Linked DNA regions of Oryza sativa Japonica Group. The protein of the gene in region 3 interacts with the protein of the main gene of each other region in a pairwise test. Links are inferred from orthologs where the notes say so. Each region holds a gene or a part of one and is shown on either strand. Other genes may lie near its edges. The genes, in order: sodium/hydrogen exchanger 8, nucleoside diphosphate kinase 1 and cBL-interacting protein kinase 24.

Region 1 (10,824 bases), on a different chromosome or scaffold from region 3:
GATAATGTGGTGCTTAAAAAGAGCACTAAAACGTAATATGATTATGTGATATTGCCTGCTGCTCACCCTTAATTACTGCATATTATACAGGACTGCTATTGTTGTGTATCAGTTATTCTATAGGATGGTGCTTGGAAGAACTTTCGATGCAGGATCAATAATAAAATTCTTGTCAGAAGTTTCACTTGGAGCGTATGTGGAATATTCTTTGAATCTCAAGACTGGATAATGATGTTATAGTGCTTTTAAGTACTAATTCTTTTTGTATATTCCTTTACCAGTGTTGCTCTGGGCCTTGCTTTTGGAATTGCATCAGTACTGTGGCTGGGCTTTATTTTTAATGATACAATCATAGAGATCGCGCTTACTCTTGCTGTCAGCTACATTGCTTTCTTCACTGTAAGATAAATAATACATCCAACCTTCTCCACCTGTTCTTTTCTTCAGAAGGGCATTTCTGGTTAAGTTACTTGAGCTACGTTGCAGCAAACAGAATAAGTTGTGGTTCATCCTATAATTACAATTCATGATGGCCTTTTTTTTTGTTTTGCAATTTTGCTAGAGATGTCATTTTACTGCTAAGCAGTGGTAGTTGCTACATGCACATATAGCTTGAATATCTATGATATATTTAAAGATGCATAATCGGTCAGGGATTCATGGTTTCTTGAAATGTGCATATGCAATTACAGAGCGTCAAATGATTTGTTCAAATATTATTATTATTGAGGGTTACTACTGATGGCATCTCTGATTTATAGTTCTAATAATTTGGGCTATGATGGGTGAAACTTTGGATAGGTGAATGGATCTGTGAAGAAATTATTTGAACATAGGTTGTAAAATGAGCATATGCTAAGAAATGTAAGGGTACATGTCTGTACATTATAATGTGCCTATAAATGGATCAGTCATCATTTTTACTAGCCCAATCATTTGTCTTCTTCCCATATTTTTGCAACTACTGACTGCATGTATATTTTTCTGTGAGCATTTGCACATATAACATTAACATATCAGTACCCCTGATTATTGTTAGCTTGTTTGATCACCTGTGCAAGTATCCATCATGGACTGGTTTTTCTGATACCTTCTGCAATAGGAATTCGTCTGTGTTTTGGATAAAATTATGCCAATTAATAATAAGTGTTTATTTCCCTCTATTTTCTTGGAGTCTTCTCATTTACTAATGTGGTTATATCAGGCACAAGATGCACTGGAGGTCTCTGGTGTTTTGACCGTCATGACACTGGGAATGTTAGTAAAACATTTGTTGGCGACCTATTCTGTGTATCCCTTAAATACCATCAAATATTGACACGTCATATGTCCAGGTTCTATGCCGCTTTTGCAAAAACTGCTTTTAAGGGTGACAGTCAGCAAAGCTTGCATCATTTCTGGTATGTCAATCAATATGTGTCACTTTAACAAATATTAAATTATCAAGTCATGATCAATCTTAACATTCCATCAGTTCTGTAAAGCTGTTTGATGTTCATGCTTCCTACATTTACATTAAATTCTTGTGCTCTTGTAGAGCTACTATGCTGCATTGTTGATTTTGTTGGATTCAGTAGCCAGTCATTTCACTTGCATGCCATTATTGTTTTTCTCAGTGGTGGATCTATAAATGTTTTAGAGCCTGGGCAAGTAAAAATAGATGATGATAAAATAACATAAAATAAAATTCATTCAACTCTATATACCATTTACACAAGCAAGAGTGCAAGTTCTGAATTAGGAGAGGAAAACCAGTAGAAGGGATTATCAATGAATGATTGTATACTTGTACATTGTTGATAGACTAGACATATATACAGAGTAGTGACATGTGCTACCCATAATTCCTTTATAGCTGTTCTGTTTCCTTTTGCTAGTTGTGTATTTTGGTTGGCTAATCTAGGAGGCTAATGAGTAACTAAATACAAAATTTAACGCTGCATGCGGTGGCGGAGCCCGGCAACTGCTCAGGGTTGCTGGGCCTTGGCTCCGCTGCTGTTTTTTCTGGTTGCACCAAAACAATGTTAGTAAGAAATCTGCAGCAAAATGAGATGTAAATCCAATTTATAAGTGGAAGACCAACAAGAAAGCAGATTAGAAAATCCCTCGAGTGGCATGCAACTTAATTCACTGCTCTAAGACCAAATTACACCCCATTATGCAGTCCATTACTCATTTGGCCATAAGATACAACCCAGGATATGTCCTAGTGGCTAATGGATATGTTGCGGTCCTGAACTTTTCTTTTCTTTTCCTTTTGTTTCCTCTTTTTTAGCCCTGTGCTGAACTTCTATGAAACTCCTGTAAAAATCGTCTGCGTTTTCATTAATTAAAGCGGGGGAGATGCTCTCCCTTTCTCCAAAAAAAAAAAGATACAACCCATGTGTGTCCCACCATTAGCATCATCACAGATCAACTCATCTTACCAAGATCCTGAAGTTAATACAAAGGATTGGAGCGAAAAATCATAAGATCATTAGGGCTAGAGCAAAGAGGATGAATAAATAGCACAAAGTAAGGTTAGTTTACTCGTTCCAGAGCAGTTTCCATACAAAGAACGCCGGTCAGGGACATACATCAAGGGATATCTCCTGTTTTGCCCCTTTTGATTTATCCATCACTAAGGAAAATTTGGGCTCAAGGCTGACCCTTTGATGTAGTCTTTTTGAAGGTAGTTTGATGTGGTCCTATCTTGATGGGCAATGCCCTGAAGTTTCTCATTTAGCAGGTTTGTTTTGTAGACAGTAACTAACCAAAATTTAAGAAAAGCAAAAACATAGTGCACTGATATTCCTGTCATTAACTGACAAATAATATGGTTATTATTGAGGTACCAAATGTACCTTGTAATCTATTCAGGTAGGAAAGCTATTTCTTTTTTTATTACTTTTCCGAGGCATTCTGATGTAAGCTTCATGTCTATATTTAATTATACTTTTCTTGTATTCAGGGAAATGGTTGCTTATATAGCAAACACACTTATATTTATACTGAGGTATTGTCAAGCTCTTCTACCCTTGCTCTTGAAACATTCTCTGATCTTTCTTTCTTCTTTCTGGCTGAAACCAAACTGCTTGCTTTTATTTGTTGTAATCCTATGATTTATATATAGATACAGTTATAATGTTTCTTACACGTGAATTCCCCACAGTGGGGTTGTTATTGCAGATGGAGTACTAGAAAATAATGTCCATTTCGAGAGGCACGGTATTTATCTCCATGTACCTTTTGAAATTTACCTTTTATGTTTCCAATAAAGAAACCACAAAAGCCTAGTTCAAGTCTGTGGTCAGATGACCAGAGCCTTCCACGACTATTGATAAATGCAGGATAACCAGGAGAATGGCTAGAATGCGCTGCTTCCTTTTAGAGGAGGGAGAGACCGCAGACTTGAAAGATACCTTGCAATTGCTGACATGGACATTCTGGAATAGAACATTGTTTCTGAATTTCTTATTTATGCTTGCATTTTTTTAATTACTGTTTCAGGTGCTTCATGGGGCTTCCTTCTTCTGCTCTATGTATTTGTGCAAATTTCTCGGATATTAGTTGTTGTTATTTTGTATCCATTGTTGCGCCACTTTGGGTATGGTTTGGACTTGAAAGAAGCCACAATTCTTGTTTGGGCGGGACTGCGAGGGGCTGTTGCTCTGTCTCTATCATTATCTGTTAAGGTAAGTTATTATCCTTGTACCAGCCAACCTTTTATTGTTTCATTGTATTTACATTATTATACTATAAATATTTCTGAATCTTCTACCCTTTTTTTACTAGCGTGCTAGTGATGCAGTTCAGACCCATCTGAAACCAGTTGACGGAACAATGGTATGCTGTTTTTTTTATGGAGAAGTTTGAAATGTTTGATTTTACCTTTACTAATGCTACATATTTGCAGTTTGTGTTCTTCACTGGTGGCATCGTGTTTTTGACATTGATTTTTAATGGTTCTACTACACAATTTTTGTTGCATCTACTTGGAATGGACAGATTAGCAGCAACAAAGGTTAGCTTCATGAATTGTTACCTATGATTATTTTTTTCCTGTTGGGATAATTTTTTTGCTTGTCCATAGATTTCTCTGCTTTATAAACTTTCTGATTTCTAGTTGGTACCAATCTGCCATCTCCTTTGTATTAATTAGTGAGTTGGCAAATTTAAGGTTTTACGTGAGATATATTTTAGTCTAGTACCTTTAAGTCCAACACTTTTTAAATATTTAGGGTTCTCAGTTTTGCATTTGTACATAACTATGATCATGTTGCCTATAACGTTGAAAGACATTTTTTTTATCTGGAATGATTGATTTTTCATTATCCTTGACAAGAACTGTAATGACCATCAGCACCAAAGAATCAAAGGTTCTACCTGTGAACATCCTCTCCAAACAAGCATTCTGTTCAACTCTTTTGATTAGCAATTGTAGCCAGTGGCGAACCTAGAACAAAAATTACCGGGTGTTCTATACATACTAATGATCTAACCATTGACTAATTTATTAAGATGGCATAAAACAGCTAGAGATGAACAATCTATCCGGGGTCATGTGCACCCAGGAACATGCATGTAGGTATGCCCCTGATTGTAGCTTCTCCCTGCTTTTCTTGGCAGTTTCTGATCTTTTAGAACTTGTAAATGCTTTTCTAATATTTCTCATTTTATATAATATTTTCCTGTGGAGAACTCCCTTACTTTTCTCCTAGAAAAGATGGTTGAACTATGCATAAATTCAAAAGTTAGTCGCAGATCCTTTCTTACTGATTACGGTTGTTTGTAAAGCCTCTTCCATCACCTGCTCCAAAGTCCAAGCTGGATAGGTTTTCTTTGGTGTTGTCATGTTGATTTTTAGGTTGTATATCTCTTATTCCTATATAGTTAGTACCCACTAAGTCATAATTGCTATAAAGCTTGCACCACAGCTCGCCACGTCATCGGCGCATATTAACTGTTAGATCTTGATCGGATGGCCTTCAAACATCGCATGTATCCAGTCTGCTATTGGCAAAAAAAAAAAAGGAACGAACCTCTCCCTTGACGTCTCCGCCCAGTGGGCTGTTGGCCCAGCAAGCAACAGAAGAAATTTTTTCCGTTCTTTCTTAGCAGCCAACGGACGAAAGCGGCCCACTTGATAAACACATACTCCACATTATTTTGTCGGAAAAAAAACACGCAACCAATGAGTAAAAAAAGGAAACACACGAAGATTGATCAACAATATTTCTCAGTAAGAATTCTCAAATCCCGCTGCAACGCGCGGGGGTATCCACTAGTGATATAGTAAGTTATTCCCTTCACACTCCAGGTAAAGATTCTAACATTATTGTTATTGCAGCTTCGCATATTGAATTATACAAAATATGAAATGCTAAACAAGGCATTGGAGGCTTTTGGTGATCTTAGGGATGATGAGGAACTTGGTCCTCCTGCTGATTGGGTTACTGTAAAGAAATATATCACATGCTTGAACGACTTGGACGATGAGCCTGTGCATCCTCATGCTGTTTCTGACAGAAATGATCGCATGCATACCATGAACTTAAGGGACATCCGTGTGCGGCTTCTAAATGGTATGTTATCACCTTACATTATAATGTGCTGATGGTGGAATTTGATACAAATATTTCCTGGAGATCGAAATAGAACACATATTAATACACTCCTTTGTTATATTCTTGTCTCCTGTTATCATTTAGCTATTTCAAGTTGGGCTTTAAGTTTGATGTCATGTTTTATGTTCAATATCCCTTTTAGTTACTTTGCTTAGTTGCTCTCTAATTTTTCCCAGTAACATGCTATATGGAAAGCTTAGGTATGTTTACTAAGGATGCATCGTTTACTTTTTACATTGCCTGCTGGTTATTAATCTGTTTGGTGATATACTTGAACCTTGGGCGCTTCCTTTGGTTTAGTGATACGTTTGGTACTTGGCTTTCAATAAGATATATCATCTCTTTTTCTGATGAAACTTTATCAAATTGATGGATTAGAGTTTCTTTGACTTATTTGCTTCCTATCTTTTCATTTTTTACACCCATTTTGTTGCATTCAGTTTTTTATTCCCACATAGTTCAATTAATATTTCTCTCACTGTTCTATATTCTCTAGATAAGCTGCTTAGATTACGGAGTTCTATGCTGAATGAATAAAAACAGGTGTCCAAGCTGCTTACTGGGGAATGCTTGAAGAAGGACGAATAACTCAAACCACTGCAAATATTTTAATGAGATCGGTTGATGAAGCTATGGATCTTGTTCCTACCCAAGAATTATGTGACTGGAAGGGTTTGCGGTCCAATGTCCATTTTCCAAATTACTATAGGTTCCTTCAAATGAGCAGGTTGCCACGAAGGCTTATCACTTACTTCACAGTAGAAAGACTGGAGTCAGGATGTTACATCTGTGCTGCATTTCTCCGTGCTCATAGAATCGCAAGACGGCAGCTACATGACTTTCTTGGTAAAAATTTCATGTTTGTTTGTGCATATTAGCTGCCATTTATTTGGAGGTCTAATTCCAGAAAGAGTAAAAGACAAATCCACCTGAATACATGATATGCATATGAGATATGAGATATATGTGGGTGGAACATATTCTTGGTGTACATTGCTTTAGTTTATAAATGCAATGAAGATGCAATATATATACTCTAGCAAGGGTTATGCTTCCTATAATTCTGTAGGGTTATGCTTCCTACAGAATTTAGTGTCAAACTGGCCAGGTCCTGATGTGTTGGTATAGCTTTTGTTTCTGAAAAACTGCTTTATAGAGTGAAATTTGGATGGCTTAAATGATCTCGCAAGGAGTAAGAATGAACCTGTCAAGTTTACTTTGTTTTGCAAGTTACTACTATGGAAGCCTGGTTGAAGGCATCTTTCTATTAATAATTTGGAATGCACCTTCATTAGTACAGATGACTTGCATGTCATGCTAGTGCTCTTTGAACCTGTTTCCATTCTTATGCACTTCTTTCTTCAGGTGATAGTGAGGTTGCCAGAATTGTTATTGATGAAAGTAATGCTGAGGGAGAGGAGGCTAGAAAATTCTTGGAAGATGTTCGTGTTACATTCCCTCAGGTTTGTGGTTACAGTTTGTTCCCATCATATGATTATTAATGGAGTTTACAGTCATCAGCATAAAATCTTCATACCCAATTCTACTAACAGTTTTCTTTTTCCAAAACATGGACATAATGGCACTATGTCCAGGTTATCATGCCATGTGTCATAAATTATACTTTATAAATTATGAAGTTGTTGTGCTGGGACCTGCCAGTCTAACTTCTTTCCTGAAATAGCTGGTGGAAGGAAAATATAGTACTTCTGTCATAAGCTGGTGAGCTGAACTGCAATGGGACTAGTTTTGGTTTTTACATGTACTTATATGACACCAAAATGCTGAGAAATGGTTTAAGTTTGGATTGGTGTATTTGATGTGGCATATCAATTGTACTGTCTATTGCAAAATTTATGTGAAGATCCTACTCTCCAAACAAACAAAAAATAGTACGTAGGATGTGGCATATCAATTGTACTGTCTATTGCAAAATTTATGTGAAAATCCTACTCTCCAAACAAACAAAAAATAGTACGTAGGAAGTTTCATTAAGAAGATGAAAGGCAACAAAATTCAAACTGTTATTAAAATATTTATTTATGGTTCAAAAGACGAAGTATTTACTTAGTGTTTCATATTTAAGGTGATCTTTATATTAACCAAGAGAAACACCACAACATAAATAAAATGTTCCACAATTTCAGGTGCTTCGTGTGCTGAAGACTCGACAAGTAACATATTCGGTATTGACCCACTTGAGTGAGTATATTCAAAATCTCCAGAAGACTGGGTTGCTGGAAGAAAAGGAAATGGCCCATCTAGATGATGCTTTGCAGGTGGCTGGAATATTTTGCTTGTCTTTTAATTATTACTATGCTGACTTTGTTGTTTCAGTTACAAATCACAATGGAAATACTAATTCTAGTCAATTCACTTGGCAGACAGACTTGAAGAAGTTCAAGAGGAATCCACCATTGGTAAAAATGCCAAGAGTCAGTGATCTTTTGAACACTCATCCGTTAGTTGGTGCACTGCCTGCTGCGATGCGTGATCCTTTATTAAGTAGCACAAAAGAAACAGTAAAAGGACATGGCACAATCCTTTATAGAGAGGGCTCAAGGCCAACTGGTATATGGCTTGTTTCGATTGGAGTAGTAAAGGTCTGTTTCTGCTTTAAGACTACCTTATCACATTAGAGTTGAGGCTTACTGTACTTTCCAGTTTGTTCCATGATGAGCATGTACATCTCTATCTCCTTTTTCCACAGTGGACAAGTCAGAGATTAAGCAGCAGGCATTCATTGGATCCAATTTTATCACATGGCAGCACTTTGGGCCTGTATGAGGTGCTGATTGGAAAACCTTATATCTGTGACATGATTACAGATTCTGTGGTGCACTGCTTCTTCATTGAAGCTGAAAAGATAGAGCAATTGCGTCAATCAGATCCTTCTATTGAGATTTTTCTGTGGCAGGTATCATAAGCTTAACCCAATAAATTATGTGGTTCTTTGGCTTCTTTATTTTATGGTTTTGGAAATCCGGATATCGTCGTAGAGCCAAACAACACTGCAGGGAAGATGTAGAACATACTGACCGGTACATCAACCAGTGTTCAGGAAAGTGGCCCTTTCTGTCGAACACTTAGGTACTGGTTTTTCTTTAAACCTGCAGTTTAGGTTCTAAAGAATACCCCAATCTGCCTTCCCGGTTTAAGCTGAAAGGCTATCTATGCTTCTCAAATATCACAGCATCTTAGGAAGAAAACATTTTAGCGTTGCAAGAGCTGGATGTCTGAAAACCTCTCAAGATCTTGGAATATACCAAAAAAAACTACACTGTTCTATTTTTCATATGCTTCCTGATTCCTTTTTAACGTATAAAAGTTCATGATTCTTTTAATCAGAAAGGTAGGACCTCTGCCAATTTAGTTACAGGATAGAGTTTAGAGATAGATAAAGTTACAAGGAGGAAAGGGCCTGCCAATAGGAAGAGCTGCTAGAGGCAAGGACTGCCAGAAAGTACCTGCACCATAACATTAATTGCCGAGGGCCCATGCATATTTGCCCAGTTCAACTTTGGGCCTGTTTAGTTCGCGAAAAGAAAATTTTTGGGTGTCACATCGGATGTTTGACCGAATGTCGGAAGGGCTTTTTGGACACGAATGAAAAAAATAATTTCATAACTCGTCTGGAAACCGCAAGATAAATCTTTTGAGACTAATTAATCCGTTATTAGCACATGTGGGTTACTGTAGCACTTGTGGCTAATCATGGACTAATTAGACTCAAAAGATTTGTCTCACGATTTCCCCCCTAACTGTGCAATTAGCTTTTTTTCATTTATCTATATTTAATGCTTCATGCATGTGTCTAAAGATTCGATGTAATGTTTTTGGAAAAAAATTTTGGGAAACTAAACGGGGCCTTTATTATCAAAGCACTTCACTTTTTTTTTCTTGGTTATTACAGTGAGGAGAAGATAACAAAATCAAACCGACATGTTCTCTTTTAACTAATTAATCTGTGGAACTTGCAAGCTTATATGTTCATATTAATATTCATGGAAATTTCAGGAAAGTGCTCTAGTCGTTGCCAGGCTTTTGCTCCCTATGATGTTTGAGAAAATGGCAACACATGAGCTCAGGGTTCTCATCACTGAAAGATCTACTATGAACATCTACATTAAGGGCGAAGAAATTGAACTTGAGCAGAATTTCATTGGCATCTTACTGGAAGGATTTTTGAAGACCAAGAACCAAACTTTGATCACACCTCCAGGGTTACTGCTACCACCAAATGCCGACTTGAACTTATTTGGTCTCGAGTCATCAGGTTATTAAGCTATCCTCAGACACTCAACATGAGATGCCTGTTCTTTTTCTTTTCCCTCAAAAACACAATGTTGTAGAGTGCTCTGAGTGAGTTCTCTGCCTCTTGCTGTTTTGTCGTCGGGATGACTCTTGCTGTTTTGTTTGCAGCTATAAACCGCATTGACTACTGTTATACAGCACCCAGCTATCAGGTGGAGGCTAGAGCAAGGATTTTGTTCGTTGAGATAGGGAGGCCCGAAATAGAGGCGGATCTGCAAAGGAGTGCGTCATTGATATCTCAAACCCTTGAACTGCCTCGGACACAAAGCAAGGAGCACAGCGGTTTGCTCAGCTGGCCGGAAAGCTTCAGAAAATCCAGGGGAGCTCAGAATGGTGCCAGCTTAACTGAAATCAGAGACCATCCAGCAAGCTTCTCTGCAAGAGCATTGCAGCTGAGCATGTACGGGAGCATGGTACGTAGAATAAGGAAAGCAAAATTATGGTTTTACATACAGTAGTATTTCTGATCAAAGTCAGCTGATGGATTTGGTTTGCAGATCAATGACATGAAGTCCGGTCAGGGTCAGGGTCAGAGGAGGCAGAGGCATCGTCACACGAAAGCAAGCTCTAATAAAGCGCACAGCTCGTCGTACCCAAGAGTGCCTTCGAGGTCGTCCAACACGCAGAGGCCCCTGCTGTCTGTGCAGTCCGAGGGTGCCAACATGACGACGGCAAGGCAGGCTGCTGCTGCTGGTGCTTCTCTGCCGCCGGAGCCGGAGGAGGCAGGACGGCGGCGGCGGCGACAACGCAAGGCAATAGAAGAGGACGAGGACAACTCGAGCGATGAGTCGGCCGGGGAAGAGGTGATTGTCAGAGTCGATTCTCCCAGCATGCTCACCTTCCGTCAGCCCTCCAGCGCTGCTGATCGATGATCAACGTCGCAACCCAAGTAATTGTTGGACCA
Region 2 (10,924 bases), on a different chromosome or scaffold from region 3:
ATTTTCATATGGCTTGGCCGGTAGAAAGTCGGAAACGAACATCGGTCAGCTAAGAATTTCCGTTACCGTTTTCATCCCAGTATCAAGATTTGACGAAGAAGTTGTCGGGTCTCCTTAACGTCGCTGAGGAGTGACTAGTGAGGAAGGGCTCGTAACGCCTCGCCGAGTAGAGTAGCGAGGAAGAAGGGAACCCGGGCTCGCCCAAATATCACTGCGTGCCATTGGGCCGTGCTTGGGCCGGCACGAAGCACGATGGGCCATGCCGTGCTAGACCGGCACGGCCCAAGTCCCCACAATTACCTGAGTGTGCCCAACGCTCCAGATTTAATTTCGCATGTTGAGCCAATATGCTTTATGGCTAATCTCAAACACAAGCACTTAGCTGGTTTTTCACCTATAGTCTTGATTTTGAGATTTTATTTATTTTCGGCTATGAAGTAAGAAAATTATCAATGCCTTCAGTGTCCAGACTTTCAGGTGTTGAGAGGCTGAGGTACAAATGAGAGCTTCTGGGATGAAATATCAAGCAGTAAAACATTATCTCAAGAAATGCAAGCACCAAAAAAGATCAAACGAGTATCCCTTAGCCTCCTCATTTGTGGGTTGAACACCAATACGGTGACAATTTCATAACTGCTGATCAAGATATGGCTCATCAGCCAAATGAACTCTGCAACTCTGCACGAGTTCACCTCTGCTGGGAGCTATAGTACAACAGTGACAATCAGTCATCGGTCAACTGCCTGAGATAATTTTGAACGCATTCATCTGCATAATGACTTGGAAGTTGGAGCTTTGCTGGTATTGTTCTGAACCAATTACAGACATGCCAGGAGATTTGACAACAGAGAGTAATCGGTCAAACGCAAAAAAGGGAATGTTGGGTATTACAAAAAAGGGGAATGTCAGGGTGTACAGTCATGAGAAGGCCGAGCTTTGGTATAAGCTACTTTACTCTGCTGATCTGAACTCATACATAACCCCTCAAATCAAGAACAAGCACTGCATCCAGTTCTTGCACTGATCTGGGAGCATTACTCTACAAGCCATGGTGTCAGAACAGATTCCCATTCGCAGAGTTCGCCTTCTTTGAACCATAGAGCTACAGACAGAAAATGTGTAATGAGTTTATCATCTGTTTGTAAAGAACAAAATAGCAGGTCACAATAAAGTTAAGTCCAAGCTAACAAACATGCACGTCTCTAAGCACATAGTGCTGCTGAATTATTATTTTTAAAAAAAAAAAACATGATCCTAATCACTGTGTCAACTACTTCATTCTTCGTAGTACTTAAAACTCATGATTCTATGCACCTTATATTGTTATACCATGACTACTGGGAAAAGGAGTAGAACTTACCGATTTCACGCTTGCCGTTATCAGGACTGTCACTTCCATGGACAACATTCCTGGAAAGCAGAGTCCATAAGAAATTTAATTTCTTTGACAGAGATATATATGCAGAGATATCCGCTAAAATGTGAAAGATGTGGTAGATATAATAATGTTAAAACATGAAAGGTTGTTTGATTCCAACCTTCCTGTTTGAACTGCAAGATCGCCCCGTATGGTCCCTGGTTCAGCTTGAAGGGGATTAGTAGCTCCTATTAACTTGCGAGCTGATGCAACAACACCATTCCCCTCCCAAGCCTTACAGAACAGAACAACAATAAATTTAATTGAAAACAGTTTACTGATCAAAGTGCAGAGTTACAAATATGTTTGGTTCTTTACAAATATATATACCATGCAAACAACAGGGCCAGAAGTTATGTACTCGATCAGACCGGGAAAGAAAGGTTTTTCCTTCAAATCCTTGTAGTGCTCCTGTGCACATAAGAGAGAATTAGCAGCTCGTTGATTAAACATAATATACTCCTGGTGATTCCCTTCCTATGTGAAAACAAAGATAATACTGTATGCTCTGACGGTGAGCAGAAACCAGGTTTAACCACAAATTTCGATGGCATTTCTACAAAATTTTCTCCAGCTGCTTGGATATTTAATGGATCACTTTTCGTTGGCTGAATACAAGAAAAAGTGACTCGAAAGAACTATCTCAGCAGTCAGCAAAGAATGAGTACTTTGGATGATCAAGGCTGTCCTGAAATAACATACCAGACAGACATGCTATTTATCATTTATTCGATTGTGAAATTTCCATTCACAACAATAAAACTGTGATCTCCTCAAATAAGTCCATTCAAGTCTTGGCAAATTGCCCACTACCAAGAAAATAAACTGGGCATGATATTTTGTCATGCCACGCAACCATGGTATATTTTGAAATGGCACCATTGCTCTCCAACGATGATTAAATGGTGAGTCCCCAGATGGTGGAAGAAAACACTTTACTTTTGAAGAAAACGGTGGATATTAAGAGGCAAACCTGTGCCAAGTCCTTGGGGCACTGAAAAAGCTTTAAGCCCTTCAACACAAAGCCTTTCTTCTCGAAACGGGAAATAATCTCGCCAACCTATATGAACGAATCGACAGGAGTGTTTATCTGAGCTGAAAGAAACTATAATGGAACTACAGTATTCAGTAATGGAATATATTACGTCAAAAAAAAGTAATGGAATCTAAAGTTAGAAAAGTAAGTAAAATGATATACCAGGCCTCGCTGAACACCATCAGGCTTGATCATAATATAGGATTGCTCAACCTACAGAAAAAATAGATTTAATCTTATGGTTGATCAGGAAGAGATCACCTAAGTGGAGAGTTCTCAACTTCTAACTGAAATAACAGAATATTGAGGTAATCAGAAATGTCTGACATCTATTATATAATAAAAGTCCATTAAACTTCCTACAAATGCTCCCAAACTGCCACGTGTACCCTACAAACGCTCCCAAGCTGCCACTTGGCACTATGATAAATTATAGAAATTCTTAAAATTCTAAAAAAAAAGACAACACCCAACCGTTGATTTTCATTTAATCTGGTGGACCCGATATTTTTAACCATTAGATCAATCTATAAAGAAAAAATAATCCTCCAATCCCTATCAGTATTGTACCTACGTGGAGTCGTAGTAGGTATACGTACGTACTTGGACCCGTATGCCTCCTCTCTTCCTCCTCTGTTCCCTCTCTTATTTCTTATTCCTATTCTTATGCAATATTAGGTAGAAAGCACAATAGGTGAGCACAATTGACAATTAAACAAATATAACATCTAAACTGCTTATATTTAATCTTTCAAAAAGAATGTCATGTTTTGGTTACAATTTCTGACTTTTACGTGCCATTTAAATAATTCCAAAATATTATGAAAAAATAACGATATAGATTTTATCATCAAACATAATTACACAATAATTAAATTAGAAAATAAATTACTCCCCGGTAAGTCAAAATAATATAATTATACGTGTCTTATATTATATTATATACTATAAACGCTTATAAATTGCCACATGACTCTTTAATAAATTAGAAAAATTCCTACAAATTCTAAGAAAAAAAGAAAAATATCTTTAGCATTGATTTTCATTTAAAATGTTAGACCAATTAATTTTAACCATTAGATCTATATAAAATAATATAATGGTGTGGACCATGCGTACATCGATCTAATGTAAAGGATATGAGAATGGTTATAGCTTCGTTCGTACACTTACGGAAGAAGAAAACATTATATAGTAGTCTAAAAAATCGAGATTCATTTTTCTTTCTGAAACTTAAAAAAATACTAAAAGTCCATTATACTTCCAATAAACATTATCAAGCCACCACATGCATATTCTACAAATGCTCCTAAATCATCACTTTACGCTATAATAAATTAGGTAAAATCCTATAAATTCTAAAAAAAAGAAAAATATCTTACCATCGGTTTTCATTCAAATCGGTGGACCTATTAATTTTAACCATTAGATATATATAAATTAATGGTGTGGGCCATATACATTGATCTAACGCAAAGGAAAAGAGATCGGTTATAGCTTCGTTCGTACATATAGAGTACAAGACATTGGATAGTAGTCTAAAAAATTGAGATTCATTTTTTTTTCTTGAACTGAAAAAAATTAAGACTTTGATCGGTCACAATTTTGCCCCCATCGACATTACTCAGGACACTGTCAGCGTGAGGGGGCAAATTAGCTTGGGACTACATGTATGTATCATGCATGACCGAGCTAAAAGCTTTATCTACCAATTATTTTAGAAACTTAAAAGTTAAAAACTATTTAGTATTTAAACTACCATGGTTGTATAAATGGCTAATTCTTTCAAACAACAAAGATAAAATAGGATAAGCATTGTAGGCTTCATATTTAGGATTATGCAATATAAACATAATCACTAAAGGCCTAATGCATGTTAGCTAAGATAAAATCACAAAGTGATTGTTTGCATTATGTAAAATCCTAATGTTTAATCATAAATTTTAGAGTAAAAATATTTAAATCATGACAACAATCATACCACACTACATAATAATCACACATGCGGAGTTATTTTTCGCAATGAAAATTATGTTCCTGCTAAGCTACATGGAGTCTCACACACTCTACACGAAACAATAAACTATCTCCTACGCTGCAAAATCAATTTAGACTCGAGAAGGCTTTTTATTTGAAATATATATTGTGTCACGTGGACCGAAGGCATCCATTAATAAACAATGAGACAATCAAGTATACAGAGAAAAAAAAGCAAGTGCATCTCAGCAAAGGATACAGTAAGTTGTAAAATATGTAGCCAATTTGCTACATACCAAAAGGAACACCAAAAGTAACTATCAAGTTCGTTGATTGTTGGCAAACAATGATATCGGCACAAAGATTTATATATACCATTATTTTCATAACCAATCAATGTGAAATGACAACTTTAAGCCACTTTTCTAACGTTTTTAATTGAATATACAATTATGTTCATCACATTCTAAACAAATGATTTCCGCGAGAATATTGTTCTCATGTTCCTCAAATGTGCAGCCTCCTATGTGATGAGCCTTTTGCCTCGGACTCATGGGCTACCTTTAGAAATAACTTTTGTAATGTGTTTACATATAACTACTTTAGTGGAGTACTTAACCCAGAAGGTAGAGTTGAAGCTTTTACACAGTGAACTATTTTAGTGGAGCACTTAACCCGCAAAAGTAGTATTGAATCAATCTATTCCATTGGTTACAGAGGAAAAAAAAGTTCATTTTACATCCTAACGATATTTTATTCTTTTAAACTTTTTTTCTTCTCTACATACAAGTCATATTTCACTTTGACACATCAGGAGATGAAGGTCAATGATAATTAAACGAATACACTAAATTCCACGACCTGCATGTAAATGCCTCTAAGGTGTCAATACAAAATCAATAAGCATTTCGTATAACGATATGATTAGAAATTTCCTACTAATTTTTATTTTAAGACTCATATTAACTTGGTATTTTTCTTAAAAATACTGTAGGATCCTACGCATAAGAATCACTATCTTACATATGTATATTTGGTCAATTTAAAAAGGTGATAGCAGGTTAGTAAAAAATATATATTTATGAGCAATTAAAGTTTCTCAAGATTTTTAAAGAAAAAATACAATGAACATTCAATTAAGAAGGGAAACACCTCACTTTAATTTAAACTTATTTTGTTAGACATGTTTTCGAAACGAAATAAAAACATGCCCGCGCAAATGCGCGGGCTACCTTCCTAGTTTCATAAATAGACAGATCCACACTTATTCTGTGAAAATAGAAGCGACGAACTCAGGTTCCATACTTAAGCTAAGTCAAACAGCATCCGTAATACCTCTCAGATATAGGCATATATCGTGCCATGAAAAGAATAAGTGGACATAAAAAATGAAACAGTTCTACAAGTTCTGCTGATCTGCATCTTTGATTTCAGGGATTAAATGCGTAAGATTAATAAAACCAACATTGATGCACTAACACGTTACTGAGATTAGCAAACAGAAAATGGCTTTATGCTTGAGGGGAATAATGAAAAACTACAAGAATAAATTTGGCATCCCTTCAACATAACTCAATTTTCTCAACTATGCATAAACAGATTTAGATTGTTCTACAGTACCCCTTCACTGTGTATTTAAGACATTGCAAGTTGCAACAACTGTCATGCTGCATCGCAAAATGAGATTGCCTAAGGAAACTTGGACCTGTTCAAGTACTGGAATTTGAAACACGTTGTTGAATAATTCAAACAATCTCACAGTAGAACCACAGAGATCATTGCATTTATTAACAAAAAGAGTAAAAAAAATGAAGACCAAATTTTGGAATTCTGATGGGCACAAAAATTCTACATAATGACATATATAGCAAACATCTTCAATTGTACTGCACGAACTAGGCAGCAAATTAGATGGTTATCAGAGCATCCAAAATAATTGCCATGACCATTTCCATATGCGCATCACGGTACAAAAGCAACTCCTACTTGGCAATCAACACAATGTAGCATGCCTAAGTGCCATATTTTCATCAGTACTGTCTGCCGCTGACAGCAGCAAGGCAAAATTCTTACTTTCAGTTCAAGTTCGCTTCCTTTTTTTCCAATAACTTATGTCAATAACCATAGAATATTCCAGAAACGGGTACTAAAATTTTAGACTGACTCTTCTCAACAAAAAAGGAAATTCAGACTGGCCAAAGCAACGTATGAATATGTGGGACATTTCAGTGAATTATCTGTTCAGTTTTTGCAATCAATAGGGAGCCAAAAAAACGATTATCTTCATCTGTGCTCAGCTAGTAGCATGTCTTTTTCTTCCCCAATCTATCAAAAAAAATACGACTCGGGCCAATACAACAGTAGAGTAAAAGTCTGAAACCAACATCACAACCAAACCAAATTGCCCCTCTCAACCCACAAAAAAGGAACTAATCTTTTCCTGCAATTTGGACCAAACGCGAGTAGGTAAAAACAAGGGGATTAATTCGAGAGGTGACCAACCGACGACGCGACGATGCGGCCGGCGGCGGAGACGCGCCCCCTGGCCGCCCTCCCGCCCCACGCGGCGCTCAGCGCGACGCGGCCGCGGGACCCCGGGGAGGCGGCGGCGGCGAAGGAGACGGCCGCCGGGCGCCGGGACACCGCGGGGGAGGTCGCGGCGAGGAGGGTCGGGGCGGGGCGGGAGGTCCTCGCGAGCACGGCCATGGCGTCCATCCCGGTAGCTGCTTCTCCTCCAACGTCCGCGCGAGCGAGCGAGCGACCAAAGCAGCCGCCTTTTTTTGGATTAGGGAGAGCGGAGAAGAAGAAGATGATGAGCAGGAGCAGAGCAGAGCAGCGGCCATCTTGTCACATTTTTCAAGATTTGTTTATTCTCGAGTTGTGAAGTGCCGAAAATACCCCTGCCTCTCATTTTCCTCCTGCATGGGGGTGAAAAAATGGACCTGATTTGTCCTCATTTCGAGTCGCTATATACCTCGTTCGTTTATGAAAATTATATTAGGAGTAGTCTTTTTAAGGTTAGCTGAACATAAAATTAATAATTTCTATGCAATGTCGAAGAGTCCTCGTTTAGTGGGATTGTTCATATTGTTACAACCTCTAGCATATGGTCAATGATTTGTTGTCATAAGTTTGCTCGATTGAATTTAGTACTAAGATGTTTGAATTTTTTCAATAAAAGTACTTTTTCGAGATAAATCTATTTATATTGTTTTATGTTTTCAAACTAAAAGTTATCCCGATTATTGATAGGCCAAGCAATAAAAAATAACCAGATTTATCATAGAGCACAAATATTTGTGATCACAGGGTGTACGCACCCTTGTTTCAAACAGAAATGAATGTATACGTGCTTCATACACCACTATCGACTCCTTGATTGATCTCGCCTCTACCATGTACAACATGTTATTAGTCGTTTTAGATTGTTTTTCCTAGTCCCGTTTCTCTCTGGTTGAAATCAATAAGGTTAATATGGTATGAGTTTTTGATATAGCCGTGTTCTATATGGTTTTATTCATCGGGAGATACCATTCTTCTATAAATTAAGGTAAGATGTACACCGCTCTTCTACACTATGCTGGTCCTCGAATCATCGCTAAACGGTGATGCTTACCTTCTTGGCATGGTACATGTATATACATGTGATGTGATGCTTATTTTACAAGTATATGCATTGATACTTGGAGCGAAGAATAACATACTTTTCTTCAATGTTCACTTCATTAGAAGAGAAAAAAGATGCCTCTCCATCCAAATGCCCAATAAACCATAGCTGCACAATGATTGACTTTCCTTACACCCCTTATGGTTGCATACTTAATCAACAATTGCCATCCAAAAAAGTGTGATTCCACAAAGAAAAATTGTGAGCATCTATCATAAATGTATATCTACTTCATCCTAGTATCATATATGTACGGCAAGTATAATAACCTTAGTTTACATGCAAACGTTATCACTCAAGCCATATCAACCTACATCCTACATGAATGAGAAAGAAGTAATCATATGTTCGTTGAGTGTGAGCGCATAGCCACCAAGTACTAGCTGTTGTGCATGAGCTAGTCCAAAGTAAAAGAGAAAGATTTGAGACTCGGTAAAAGATAAAATAATTTTTAAAGAAAGCATTGAGAAATATTGTTGTATATGTATATGGCTTTCAAATTTAGGTGATTATTCTTTAGAGCCAACAAAAGGTCATCTTATTGGCTGTTGCCAATTTGAAAGTGAGTTTAGCTTTTGCAACTCGTTCGTTTACTATGAGTATGTTTCCTAAATTATTAGACGGTGTATTTTTAAAATAAATTTTTATATAAAAGCTTATTTTAAAAAAAATCAAACAAATCTAGCTTATCGATTTAATACTTAATTAATAATATGTTAAATGTTTTTATTTCACGTGCAGAAAAAAGCTAAGTCAAATTGTTGCCACTGCTTCCTCCACACTGCCCACTTGTCCAGTGGTTGCCGAGGTGCTTATTCCTACACCTAATTTATGGAGGTCAATAACAAAATTATTATTGTAATATACTTTTTTTTATATAGTACTAGCTCATTTCACCCGTTGTTATGTAAACTCTTTAGCCCATATTGTATATGTGGCATCTGACGACCGTCCAGTATAAAAAGCATGAGGCCTACTGGCCTACTTACCGTAAAAAGTCAAATGATACACTTTGTATTCAAAACACATGTTACCGGTGTACACATGCATAGACCAAACGGAACACCTCATTTTAGTAAACCTAGTCTGACGCTTTCTATACAGCAACGCGGTACCTCAAGGTTTACGCCTTCAGGCGGATCACGCACGGTGGAGACGGACGAGCGCGAGAAAGGAACAAACCGAACAAGTGGACCCACCCACCCGTGGGCCCATCCACTTCGTCCACCACACCGCATCGCACAAACCACACAACACCGGTTCCGACCAATCACATCCGTCCACGTACCCCCCAAACATCCCCCGGCCCCACACACCGAATCCCCCCGCACAGCGCGTAAGCCGCCACCGACGCGCTGGCACTCCCACGTTCAAGCCCTCCTCACCACCCTCACACCTCACAGACAGGTGGGACCAACAAAAACCAGACCCACCTGTCAGTGACGCGGTTCGGACGAATCCCCCGTAGCCGTAACACGATCTCCAACTTTCCTCGTGGGCTCCACGTGGCAGTGGGGAAAGCACGGGTCCCGATGATATCGCCCACACACCACCTCTCTCTCTTCTCTCTCTCCCCATCTCTCTCTCTCCTCCTCGACTCACCGTCTCTCTCTCTCCCCTCCCGTCTCCGGCGATCTCTCCGGCGGCGTCTCCGGCGACCGGGCCACCGCCGCCGCCGCCAAGGAGCGCTCCCCCTCATTCCCCAGATCGGTAGCTGTCTCGTCGCCGTCCCCGATCCTCCTCCTCTTCCTTTCCCCCAGATCCACACCCCCCCCCTCGCGTACTCGCTCTTAGCCTCCGCGGCGGGAGGTGGTGGTGGTGTGGGCGGGGGGTGAGCTCGTGAGTCAGATCCGGTGATCTGTGCGCTGTTGCGGTTGCCATGGACGACTTCCAGGGCCTCCTGGCCCGCGACTTTGGGCTGCGCCCGCAGGGGAAGGCGGCGCCCATGTCGGCCGCCCGCGCCGCCGCGTCCTCCGGATCCGCCTGGTCCAACTCCAGATCCGCATCGGCGTCCTCCGCCGCCGCCGCCACCGCCCCGCCCGCGCCCTTGTACGATGACCTCTTCGGGGCCGCGGCGCCCTCCGCCCCGCCGCCCAAGGCCGCGCCCTCGCCCTCCCTCGACGCCATCTTTGACTCCTTCAAGGAGCCCTCCGCCCCGGATGCCCCACCCAAGCCGAAGCACTCGTCCATGCCGGTGTTTGACAAGCCGGTCTACGATGACGACATCTTCGATGGGGTTCCCGGGGTGAAGAGCAGCTCCTCGGCGCGGTTTGACGATGTATTCGGTGGCAGCCACGCGCCGCCGCCACCTGCGTACGATGATCTGCTTGGGGGATTTGGGAGCAAGCCGGAGGTGAAGGAGGTGCTGCCGGAGGAGAAGAGGAAGCCTGAGCCGGCCGCTTCATCGGCTGGGTTTGATGATTTGATCCCAGGGTTTGGCGGGAGGATCCCGATGCGTGCCAGGTGAGCACACCTTTTTGCATGGGAATTTCGGGCATTATGTTGTCTACATGTGCAATCTAGGAGTAAATTTAGTAGTAGTTTGGATCAAGCGGAAGCTTTGTCGGTATGAGCCAACTCGGCAACGAGAGAACCATGTGATAATTCAGTTGAGTTGGACAAATTATGGACTCCCATATCTAATTTATGTTGCATTTGCTTAGATTTTAGCTTGTTAATGTGCACGTGCGATTGTTTGAATTGGTAACTTATACCAGTTGAGGTAGGAAATTCATTGATGGCTTATATCTTCAAATCTATTTGGTAATTGAATTTATAGGCTATTTTCCATTAGGTATGATCTGTGTTGACCATTGAATATCAATGG
Region 3 (10,924 bases):
TCTTACCATTCTATGTACCTGGCTTGCATGATGGGACTCAAAGATGGGTTTTTTTTTTCCATGGATGCTAATCTGCTAGACTGCTAGGAGTACTAGTTTAACTGTTGCTGGACGAAACGAGTTAAACTAGTTTCGTCGAAAGCTGATTTTGATTTTGAATTTTAGAATTTGATTTCAAACTGATACCAAGGGTTTTCTTCCTCACTTTGGTTGCTATATCTTTTTTCCAAGAAAGTCAAAAGGGCAAGTAAAGGAGATGCGAAATATACCTAAGATTATTCTTACGAATCAAATTAAAAAAAATCAAAATTAACTTCAGATTATAATCAATAGATCAAAGGCTTAAAAGTTGTGGTAGGCAGGTTTCCCTTTTCTTTTCCATTTCTGCCCTGGAAATACATATAGGATTATATCACAAGATTAATTGCTCTCATCCTTGAGAACGGCTAAGTGAAGAAGATCCGACATACACGAGAGCATTTCGACGTTCACAAGTCATTCCAGTTTCATGGCAGCAAAATAACCAGCTTATTTACTACTACTACACAAGAAACCTATCTATATCCATGTTACATACAGACTGCACAATTGGCCGCTATATGGACTATCTACAGTTCTATATTAACAATACTACCAAAACATCTGGTGCATGAAACTAGAATGGTACACTGATCTACTGAAGAACTGACTCAGCTATGTGGTACATGCAGCGCCTGCAAGAGCAACTTCGGTGGACGGGCTAGGAGTTGACAACCTGAAAACCTGAAAATCCCACTGATGCAGGAGTTGCAGCTGCGTTAGCGCCAGGCTAGCATGTGGCTGTCCTCAGCAGTGCGGATTTCGCTGAAACTTCAATCGGTCTCCAGATTATGCTTTCCATCTTGTTGCACAAGTTCTTGTAGAACTGCAATGAGTGTAAATCTGAGTTAGCAATCGTTCCGGATGGACGAAAAGTTGGATGTTGCACCTTCGAATGAGCATTTTGACACATTGTGTGAAAGTTATCAGTGTCAGTCAGGCAGTGTCAGTCATTTTTTTAGATTTATGAACTAGTCTAGGCAATCATGCTACTATATTCGATTAGGATACAAGACGATATGTGGAAAGACAGACCCTGTGGTATTCCAGTGTGTCACCAGCAACCTTTCGAACATCAACCATGAACAGAGAAGGAGCAACTTCGAAAACCTGCGAATGATGCATTTCAAAGCATAAGACAGCATGAAAAATGTAGTTTGTGAATGACAAACAGCAAAATGTTGTTCCCCAACAAAGGGCAATGTAAGACTACCTGTAGAACAACAGCAAACGGGCTCATTCTGTTTGAAGATACACCTTCAAGACGCAACTGCAGAAAAGAGTTAGCAATAAGTATCATTACATCAAGAGTAAGAAATGAGTTGCTTGTTGAAGAAAATGTTTTGTAATTACCTTGTAATTCTGAGAGTGGACCTTAAGACCCATAGTCTCAGCAACAACTTCAATTGTAGCTACTATAGTCTTTGCTGGTTTCCTTGAGACAAAACGAGTTTGACGTTTGACAAACTCCTACAAATATAAAACCCATCATTATTGCAACATGAGCACTCCATGTGATGAAAGTTGCATCAGACAACATAAGTTATTCATGAGGACTGCAGTTAATGCATAAAGCAAACACCAAAGTTATTCATGACGTGTGGCACACTATGACGTATGGTCCACGTAAAATAAAAAAATACATACTAAACATGTCTAGGAAGATCTAATGTAAGAGCACAAACATTGAAAAGTGGGTTCTTCTTTCTGCTATACGAGAACATTGCAACTAGAATGAATATATGGTTGGTGTGGTCAAATACTTCACAAACTAAACAGGTGCAATTTAAACCATGGAGATTAGCTAAGAAGCAAGCAATCAGATGTTTTTTTCTCCTTTTATGCAGGGTTTCCATTTCCATTCAAATTTGGCAAAAAACAGAAGCCGTCTGCCACCAACCAGTACACTAAGCGATAAGAAAAGAGAATAGACAATGGGATCGATCTACAGTCGGTTAATCCATATACAGTGGCTAGAATATAGTTCCACATAATACTAACGCCAATTGAAATGGATGTTCGTTTAAGTCATTTATTATAAACAAGATAGAAACCCCTGAGCGACCAACCGTCACTAAACCCAGTGCCTCACAGCCTTGTAAGTAAATGAAATAAGCTGACATGCCAGATCTCCGTACACTATAAACCCATCAGCGTTTCAAATTTCATTGCGCTAATGGTTCTCCAACAGCAAAATGGTCAACCATACCAAGAGTGTTACCAACTAAAAGGAAGAGTGGAACTATGAAATTACCTGCTGTCTATCAAATAATGCTGAAAGATCCAAACCTTGAGATAATGTAATCATCTCGAAGGCATTCATCACAAGAGGGCCACCATCATTATGAGTCACTTGCTCAGAAACGTACTTGTCCTGAAGCCAGAAAAGTTGTATAAATATAACTATAGAAGCAAATAGGTGACAGACAATTGGCAATATACCAATGGCATACACAAACCTCAATATTGTCAAAAACAGCCTGTACATCATCCAGATCAACATTTTCATCTTCACCACGTTTAATGGCTACATAAGTCTTCTTAAACCATGTGTCTTCCCTTATCTGTTCAATAGTGATACGCTGCAAAATAGTGAAAAAGGCCTAAGAAACTGGAGACGGCAATTTGCAAAAGCAAACACTCTATGCTGGTTGAAGATCTATGCGTTAGACTTATTAGATTTGATTCTAGCAAGATTCTGTCACTGGTCATGTATAGTTGTATACAGTATTTCTGTAACATATATGGCAGCACTGATATGAAGAAATTAGTCTTTGTTTTCTGCATTCTCTCACATAATTTCTGCAGCCATGCAGACTGAGACTGAAGTATTAAATTGGTGACAAGAGTACTTTGGAAGCTTGAGGTAAACTTTACTATAAAGGATGATTTGTTTCTTGAAGATGCAATGAAACAACCTAGTGTGTGTACTTACAGTTTTTGGATTTGGGTCGAGTATTCTGTGGATAAGCGATGTAGCACCTGGAGAGAACCAATAAGGGCATGAAAACTGACCTGCAGTAATCTTTTAATGTAGGAGTAAACATATCAGGTTTCAATCTCATCTGAGTAGAACGATTATGTAGGTGTTCACATCAACAATTTAGGGAAAGAAAGACTTATGCTGCACACATTAGTAATGAAGCCAATACCTTATCATACAGTGTTGGAAGATCATCTTCCTCAAAAGGAAGGTATCCAGCCATCAAAACATAGAGAATAACACCACATGACCAAACATCTGCTGCAGATCCATCATAACCATTGTTGCTAAGCACCTAAAACATTGACACATGGTAAAGCGCATATCATATATGTACTAAAAAAATGCCCCTAATCTTGTCTAAGGAAATGGCTTGAAATGCCCATATCACAATTTTATGAACTAGTTCAGACAATTAAAATCACAATAGCTTGAACATGGTGAAATAAGACAGCTAGAGATATTTATTTAGTGATGATGGCAGAAATATGCATAAAAATGAGGTTTAGAACCCTGAAGAGAACTAACCAACCAAATAACTGCGAGACAGGTAGAGAAACAAAGAAATAGGTAATCTCTTTCTAGTCTAACAGACATTTGTATCATACATACAAATATGATCTATAAAGAAAATCTAGGAAAATTGAATTGCATCCCGAGTAACTCGTCTAATTTTGCAGACATATTTCTTGCATGTAGTGTAGCTAATCAATTAGCTCCTTGCCAAAAAAAAAACATTTCGTACAGTTCAATTTACCATGCATTGAGAGATAGAGAGAGAGAGAGCATCATACCTCAGGAGCAACATAATTTGGTGTTCCACAAGTTGTGTGAAGAAGGCCTACTCCCTGAAATCCCTCAAAAAAGAAATCCCAATCAGAACACTTCTAGGATAGAAATACAGCATCATTAAAAGCAATTACTGAGCTTACTTTCTGGGCCAAAGTGCTAAGTCCAAAATCAGAAACTTTCAAGTTTCCACGTGAGTCAAGAAGCAGGTTTTCAGGCTACATAACATGCCCAAAAAAAGGGTAAGCATGAGATATTGCACCTAGTGAATAGGACAAATGATAGCCAAGTGTCTCTTATCAGTAACGGACCTTCAAATCTCTATGATATACTCCTTTGCTATGGCAATAATTGATGGCATCAATAAGCTGCTGGAAGTACTTCCTTGCTTCATTTTCACGAAGCTTCCCTTGGCGAGCCTACAGATATTTGATCGCATAGGTTCATATTTTAAGAAAATGCACAATAATAAAAAAATGTTCCTTTCTTTATATTGCCTATTGGGATTATATAATGGGCCTATAATTTACTGAACAGAAAGTTTCTGGTATATATGGGTGATAAAAAGAATTTACATATGGAGACACTGCCAGATTGGCACAATTCTTATATTTTTTTAGTTCAAGTAGAACAGCAGCTCATCGTTATTTCGGTAGTGTATATAATAGACTCCTTACTATTTTATCGAACAATTCGCCTCCAGTGATAAGCTCCAAGATTATGTATATCTTCGTCTTTCCAGCTAGAACCTACAAAATCATAGTAATGGTAACAAAGTAGTGACACAGGAAGTTAAGATAGCCAACATAGGAGTTTTGTTAATAATGAAAAGTTATATAGGACAGATGGCAAGTAAATATTTAGCATACCTCGTTTAGTCTAACTATATTGGGGTGTCTTACAATCTTCATTATTGATATCTCCCTTTTGATCTGTCAAGTAACATGAGAAGTGAGTTCGTAATCTAATGCCGAATTAGAATGGTTTAGTCCTTTTTTTTGTTATCATGATTAGCGATATTGCATAAACAACACAAAGAAAGTACATCTCGCATAAACTGGAAATCTGAAATGGGTGCTCACAGCAAAATCAGGTAAAACTGGTGGTCATCATTGATTTGCAGAACAGTTAAACTAAACAAACCAAATTTATACACATGAAATTGCAAACACAATTGGGGAGAAACTAAGCTTCATGGCAAAGCAGTAGGCTTAGGATTGTAGAACAGTTATATTAAACAAACCAAATATATACTTGCAATTGCAAACACAATTGGAGAGAAACCAAGCTTCATGGCATAGCAGTAGGCTTAGGATTATAGAACAGTTATATTAAACAAACCAAATATATACTTGCAATTGCAAACACAATTGGAGAGAAACCAAGTTCCATAGCAACTAGCAAATCAGGAAGCTTAGGAAAAGATTTACACCACTATAATTAGAGAACTTGAGCACTTTGCAACAAGATGCATCCTCAAAAGATGTCGTTGGATAACCATATGAACCAACTATTTGTAGCATTTCTGCAAACACCGCAAATCGAATTAAGCTACAACAGACCAAATTTTGGTAAAATCACTTTCAACACCCAACCATTTCAATTCTGCAACTGAGCTTCTGTCAGCCCAAACGAGATGAAACACCAAACAAACCGCTCGAATTAAGTTTTTCTTTCTTTTCTTTTTTTTTTTTAAAAAAAAGGTATTTTCCCCTTTGGGAGAACAAGAAATTTAAGGCTCTCCAGTTAATTCCTTATTCTTAATCATCAAACGGCAAGAGCTGCGCGCAACTCGCACGAATTAACCAGTGGTGCGCATTGCTGTCGAGGTATATTCGGAAATTCTCCATCCGCCCTCGTCGATGCGCGGCTGCTCACCATTTGGCAAACAGCAAAGCAGCAGCGGAGAGCACCCAAATAAAAAAAAGTGTAAAAAGAATCGCCCGGATCAAAGCAAAGGGGGGAGTGCGAGGAGTTTGATTTGGACTCGTGCACTGGCGGGGGCGGATGTGGAGGGTAGCGGGAAAGGAGAAGCGGGGGAATTACCTGGTGGAGCATGCGGTGGTTGAGGATGGTGTCCTTGTCGAGCACCTTCATGGCGACGGCGGCGCCGGTGTCGGCGTCCACGGCGAACTTGACCTTGGCGAACGTCCCCTGCCCGATGGTCCGCCCAACCTCGTACCTCCCCACCCGCTTCTTCCTCCCCGCCGCCATTCCCTCCTCCCCTCCCATCCGCCGCGCGGCCACGAATCCAACTCGGGGGGAAGAGGAGGAAGACGACGACGCCGCCGCGCGCGAGCTCGGCTTTGGGGGGGCTTCGCTGCCTGAATACCGACCATCTGGTTGACTGCTTGCCTATTTATGGGCTTCCACCCCCTCCGTTCTATAATACTCCCTCCGATTTTATTTTAATTAATATTTTGATAATCACACGATCTAAAAAACATATATTTGACCTTATTTTTCTATTATAATATATGTAATAAATAAATGAATGTTTAGTGTTTTGAAAGACAAATCTATATATGTTATTCTTGTTCTTTTAAACTAAATACTTTTATATATGTTGTTCTTGTTTTTTAAACTAAATACTTTTAAAGTTATGGATAGTCAAAGTTATAAAAGTTTGACTTCAATCTTATCTAAAACATCAATTATTATAGAACCAGAGGGAGTAATCGACATTTAACATAATAAATGGTTTCGATATATGGTTTTGATTAGCATATATTAAGATTTGAGATTACGATACCCCTCATTAAATGGTGTATAGGTAAGAATAGAAGGACAATTAAGGGTAAAATAGAAATAAATTTAAATGAGAAGTGATTATGAGACAATTAGTACTCTATTATGATAATTATTTTGTGACACATGTAAATCTTAGAAATACAATTATTATGGGACGGAGATAGTACAGAATAAAACGTCATATCATAAAATTAAGATTATTTTTTTCACAAAACATTTAATGCGGAGTATCATAGAATTATGTGCTATTACAAAACTACAGATTTCAAAGTTGAAACTCTTAGCACTAATTTTATCTCCAAATTATAAAATGTTGTAGTTTTATAATAATTTTGTTACTAAATCTGCAATTTTGTTATAATTTATTTTTTTGAGAAGCGTAGTATAAATCCAGGTGCCCATAACGCACACACACTCACGTCTATAAACACATACACACATACCCTACCTCTATAAGCATCTTCGGAGGACTGGACCAGTATATCTTGAGATTGATGAAGTCCATAGACATCTTGCTGTCGATGAGTACATCACTTACCACTAAAAAAATAATTAGCTGTAAATACGAGCACCCATGTTAAGTCTAAAACTTAAACCCGGATAGACTGGTTTCACCACAAGGGAATTTTGTTATACTTTATTTTAATTCTATTGTTTTGCGAAATTTGTTATTAAATATGTAGGTTTGTAGTTTTATAAAATTTACTCATGGTTTATAATAAATTTTACAGTATACTTTTAAAATTTAAAATCTACAAATTTAAAATTTAAAATATATGTAGTTTTATAAAATTTACTCATGGTTTTTAATAAATTTTAGTGAACTCCATTTAAACTATCAGAAACTATAGATTGAAAATGATATATCGCAAAATTATATATTTAACATTAAATTTATCATAAAACTATATATTTAATACCGTATCATAAAAATACATAAAACTATATATTTAATACCGTATCGTAAAATACATATTTAATAGTGATGTTATTAAAAAAACAACTACGAATTTTTAGCTTGTGGCTTTGGGCTATGGCTTCACTGCTGCGCGCAGCGCGCTGCTAAATGCCTGACTGCTTGCCTATTTAAGGCTTCCACCTGCGTTCTCTAATAATTGGCACGGTTAATTCTAGCTTTTTCCTTTTGCCATAAATTGGTTTTAGATGATTATATTATGGTGAAGAAATTTGTATGCCTATAATTACTGCGCTTAAAAAAAGATACAAGTTTAAACTAATGCGGAAGAAGTATTCTATTTATTTACTTTTGCATGACCTGAAAAAGAAGGGGACAGAAAAAGATTTTGCTCATGTTTGAGAGGTCGCTTTTTAATTCTTTTGTGTTGTTATTGTGGTGTTGATGCCTCCTATTGTCCTCTCGCTTTTTAACTTGATGGTGATTAGCTCGATCGGTTGATGATGATTGATGCGATAAAAGTTTGTGATCTCTCCGAATGAGTAGAAAGCATGATCGGTACTTCAGTAATGGCTGTGATGACAGTAAGCGTCAATTGTTTTCTTTCCTTTTTCTTTTCGATTTCGATTACGACTCAACATGTATACACACTCACAAACTGCAAGTGCGTCGTCTTAACACGTTGATCGCCATGTCGAGATTAGCGATATCTCTGAGTTACGAATTTATTGATATGCTAAAACCATACTTATATTTGTATATATATAACCCGATGAATAAAGTCATACCCCTACAATTCCATGCCATATCAAGGATGCTTCTCGCCGTATTCTGAAATTTGAAACATTTTAGAATAAATAGAAATAATTGTAGGGGTCATAACCATCGACAGTGCACAAACAAAGTGAACCAGAAATGGTTCGTGAAAAACTGGTGTGAACCATATCACTAGTTCAAATTGTCTTCTTAATTTGTGATATGAGAAAATTTTACAAAACTTTAAAGTGGTGTATCACAAAACTATAGATTTAACAAAAAAAAAATTATCATAGAACTACAACTTTAAGATAAAGTTTCACAAAACAGTAGATTAAGTAGCAAATTTATCCCAATACTATAGTTTCAGTCCCAATTTAATTACAAAACTACAATGTCCAACAGAACGACAGTGCTAGTGATTGAAACTTTACAATATGAAGTTTTGTGATAACTTTAATACCCCCTCCGTATTTTAATAAATGACATTGTTGACTTTTAAACACATGTTGGATTATTCGTCTTATTCAAAAATTTATGCAAATGTATAAGATATATAAATCATGCTTAAAGTACTTTGAGTGATAAAACAACTCACAATAAAATAAATTATAATTATGTAATTTTTTTAATAAGACGAATGGTAAAACGTGTGACAAACAGTCAACGGCGTCATCTATTAAAAAACAGAGATAGTATTAAATATGTAGTTTTGTGAAACTCTACCTTAAATTTGTAGTTCCATGATAAATTTGTTGTTAAATATGTAGTTTTGTGATACAACACTTCAAATCTGTAGTTTTGTTAAATATGTAGTTTTTTAATGTGATATTGAACCTTCAGCATCATATGATTGTGTTTCTCATATGTCTATATTTTTTTTACTATTGCCACCACCTGGAATTGTCTTCACGGCTTCCTTACTTACTTGTTTCGAAGATTATATTTTTATGGCTTGAGAAAGATAACTACAACATACAACTTGTAAGATGTTGGTACAAACAATAGTTATGCATCCTCTGATCAACCTTAGATGGAGATTTTTGTTTTTAAGGTTGTGCTTCTCAGTAGTTTTCTTGTTTTTAACCAAACTATAATTTTGTAATTCATAATTATTCATTCTACAAACACTGTAATAATTCTCTAGGGATAGTTTTTTTTTCTGCATTCCACAATTCATCTAGATATGCTTTGTGCTTCTCTAGGCCGTTAGATTTTTTTAACATTGGTAGAGATTCATCAAAGTGCAATTTGAAGGCCGCTTTGAAGTGGAGGATTCTTAATCCTATAAAATAATTCCTATGAGAGCCTTTGAAACAAAGGATTAAATCCTATCACTTTCTTTGAAATTTATATGAAATGGACAATTATATGGTGATTTCAGAGAAACAAGGCCAAGAGGTCCTAGTTCATGTTTTCAATCTTTTGTCTCTTGCAATCCTATGTTTCTTATGTGTTCCAATCAAACACCAATATTTAGATGGTGTTTGAATCTCATGAAGATGAAGATGAAGATAATGATTAAGTATTTCACGTAAAACAAGGTGGTAATAACGCGTGATTAATTGTGTTTTAATTATTACAAACTTGAAAAATGGATTAATCTGATATTTTAGAACAACTTTCATATAGAAAGTTTTTGTACGAAACGTATTGTTTAGCAGTTTGAAAAATGTGTCACATAAATCTTCTTTTTCATCCAACTCATGAGTTGGAGAAACGAACGGGACCTTAAAGTACTTTCATATGGTTTATCTTCCTGTAGGAATTTAAAATCTATGTCACTTGGTTCCTATGTTTTTTTTTCCTATTTCTATGTTTTAAAGGGAGCTCTAATTAAATACTATTTGTTTCACCCAAAAAAGAGTATATGTGAATGTTTGATATTAATCTCGATATTAAAAAGTGATTGGTAAATAAAAAAACATGACTATTCAAAGACTATATGGCCCTGAATATATTCCGATAAAATTAATATCAGAAAAGGAAGACAAAATTAAAGAAATACCATTCAGTTGTACTGTTCCTACTGGCTAAAGTTATGGACGAGTTGTAGACTCTTTAGGCTCCCCATTTCACAAATGCATCTTAAAGCTCATTAAATTTGTTTGTAGAGTTGCTTTTGACGTCTTAAGAGTCAAGGTGATGAAAATGGATGCGGCTCCTGCAGTACTGCATGTGCTCACTGACATATGGGCCTTACAGACCCTCAGCCCCACATTCAGCCCCACATTGAGTCTGCAATACTGAGGATCTGGATTGGACGAAAATCGCTTGCTGTTAAATTAGTATCAGAAGTCTTATCCATAAAAAATAGCATATATATGACACTCTAATATAAACATTCACTATGTCTATTTATTTTGCCAAAGGGCAAATGCAAATGTGAGGCTAAACCATGACTAATTTTCACCTTAGTGGTAAAAAGCCAAGATGGAAAAAATCCCTCAGGGGCAAAATGAAAAATGTTGGTACAAAATAATTCTGCATTTTTGTTTGTTTCCATGTGTGTTCCCACATATACTCGTGTAATTAAAAAATATTATCAAATATTACCTCCACTTGTCATAGATATATGACATTGGGAATACTTACTAGAGGGATATTCCGGTCTTTGTGAGGTGTTGTGTGTTGGGTTGGTGTTTATTCTT

What was found.
Region 1: the proteins of cBL-interacting protein kinase 24 (region 3) and sodium/hydrogen exchanger 8 interact in binary tests that used the Arabidopsis thaliana proteins (3 or more experiments, as listed by UniProt). The link is inferred for Oryza sativa Japonica Group from reciprocal best matches to the Arabidopsis thaliana genes SOS2 and SOS1.
Region 2: the proteins of cBL-interacting protein kinase 24 (region 3) and nucleoside diphosphate kinase 1 interact in binary tests that used the Arabidopsis thaliana proteins (3 or more experiments, as listed by UniProt). The link is inferred for Oryza sativa Japonica Group from reciprocal best matches to the Arabidopsis thaliana genes SOS2 and NDPK2.

Annotation. Positions count from the first base shown.
Region 1 is NC_089046.1:28,214,350-28,225,173, reverse strand, and holds part of sodium/hydrogen exchanger 8, read left to right. Parts: intron 1-90; coding exon 91-192; intron 193-281; coding exon 282-399; intron 400-1,204; coding exon 1,205-1,257; intron 1,258-1,334; coding exon 1,335-1,400; intron 1,401-2,950; coding exon 2,951-2,995; intron 2,996-3,151; coding exon 3,152-3,207; intron 3,208-3,489; coding exon 3,490-3,674; intron 3,675-3,774; coding exon 3,775-3,825; intron 3,826-3,895; coding exon 3,896-4,003; intron 4,004-5,329; coding exon 5,330-5,564; intron 5,565-6,149; coding exon 6,150-6,452; intron 6,453-6,971; coding exon 6,972-7,069; intron 7,070-7,753; coding exon 7,754-7,885; intron 7,886-7,990; coding exon 7,991-8,209; intron 8,210-8,316; coding exon 8,317-8,523; exon of another isoform or gene 8,524-8,696; intron 8,697-9,623; coding exon 9,624-9,882; intron 9,883-10,028; coding exon 10,029-10,333; intron 10,334-10,417; coding exon 10,418-10,792; 3' UTR 10,793-10,824. UniProt on the Arabidopsis thaliana protein: Acts in electroneutral exchange of protons for cations such as Na(+) or Li(+) across plasma membrane. Involved in Na(+) and K(+) homeostasis.
Region 2 is NC_089046.1:22,866,614-22,877,537, reverse strand, and holds nucleoside diphosphate kinase 1, read right to left. Parts: upstream 7,218-10,924; 5' UTR 7,146-7,217; coding exon 6,933-7,145; intron 2,667-6,932; coding exon 2,616-2,666; intron 2,478-2,615; coding exon 2,391-2,477; intron 1,829-2,390; coding exon 1,748-1,828; intron 1,652-1,747; coding exon 1,539-1,651; intron 1,411-1,538; coding exon 1,361-1,410; intron 1,103-1,360; coding exon 1,035-1,102; 3' UTR 750-1,034; downstream 1-749. Other genes in the region: auxilin-related protein 2, read left to right, coding at 9,977-10,560. UniProt on the Arabidopsis thaliana protein: Major role in the synthesis of nucleoside triphosphates other than ATP. The ATP gamma phosphate is transferred to the NDP beta phosphate via a ping-pong mechanism, using a phosphorylated active-site intermediate. May activate MPK3 and MPK6.
Region 3 is NC_089040.1:24,900,569-24,911,492, forward strand, and holds cBL-interacting protein kinase 24, read right to left. Parts: upstream 6,184-10,924; 5' UTR 6,083-6,183; coding exon 5,897-6,082; intron 4,783-5,896; coding exon 4,720-4,782; intron 4,600-4,719; coding exon 4,528-4,599; intron 4,270-4,527; coding exon 4,162-4,269; intron 4,069-4,161; coding exon 3,994-4,068; intron 3,910-3,993; coding exon 3,856-3,909; intron 3,357-3,855; coding exon 3,231-3,356; intron 3,104-3,230; coding exon 3,014-3,103; intron 2,661-3,013; coding exon 2,538-2,660; intron 2,453-2,537; coding exon 2,333-2,452; intron 1,549-2,332; coding exon 1,432-1,548; intron 1,349-1,431; coding exon 1,292-1,348; intron 1,189-1,291; coding exon 1,114-1,188; intron 905-1,113; coding exon 809-904; 3' UTR 324-808; downstream 1-323. UniProt on the Arabidopsis thaliana protein: Involved in the regulatory pathway for the control of intracellular Na(+) and K(+) homeostasis and salt tolerance.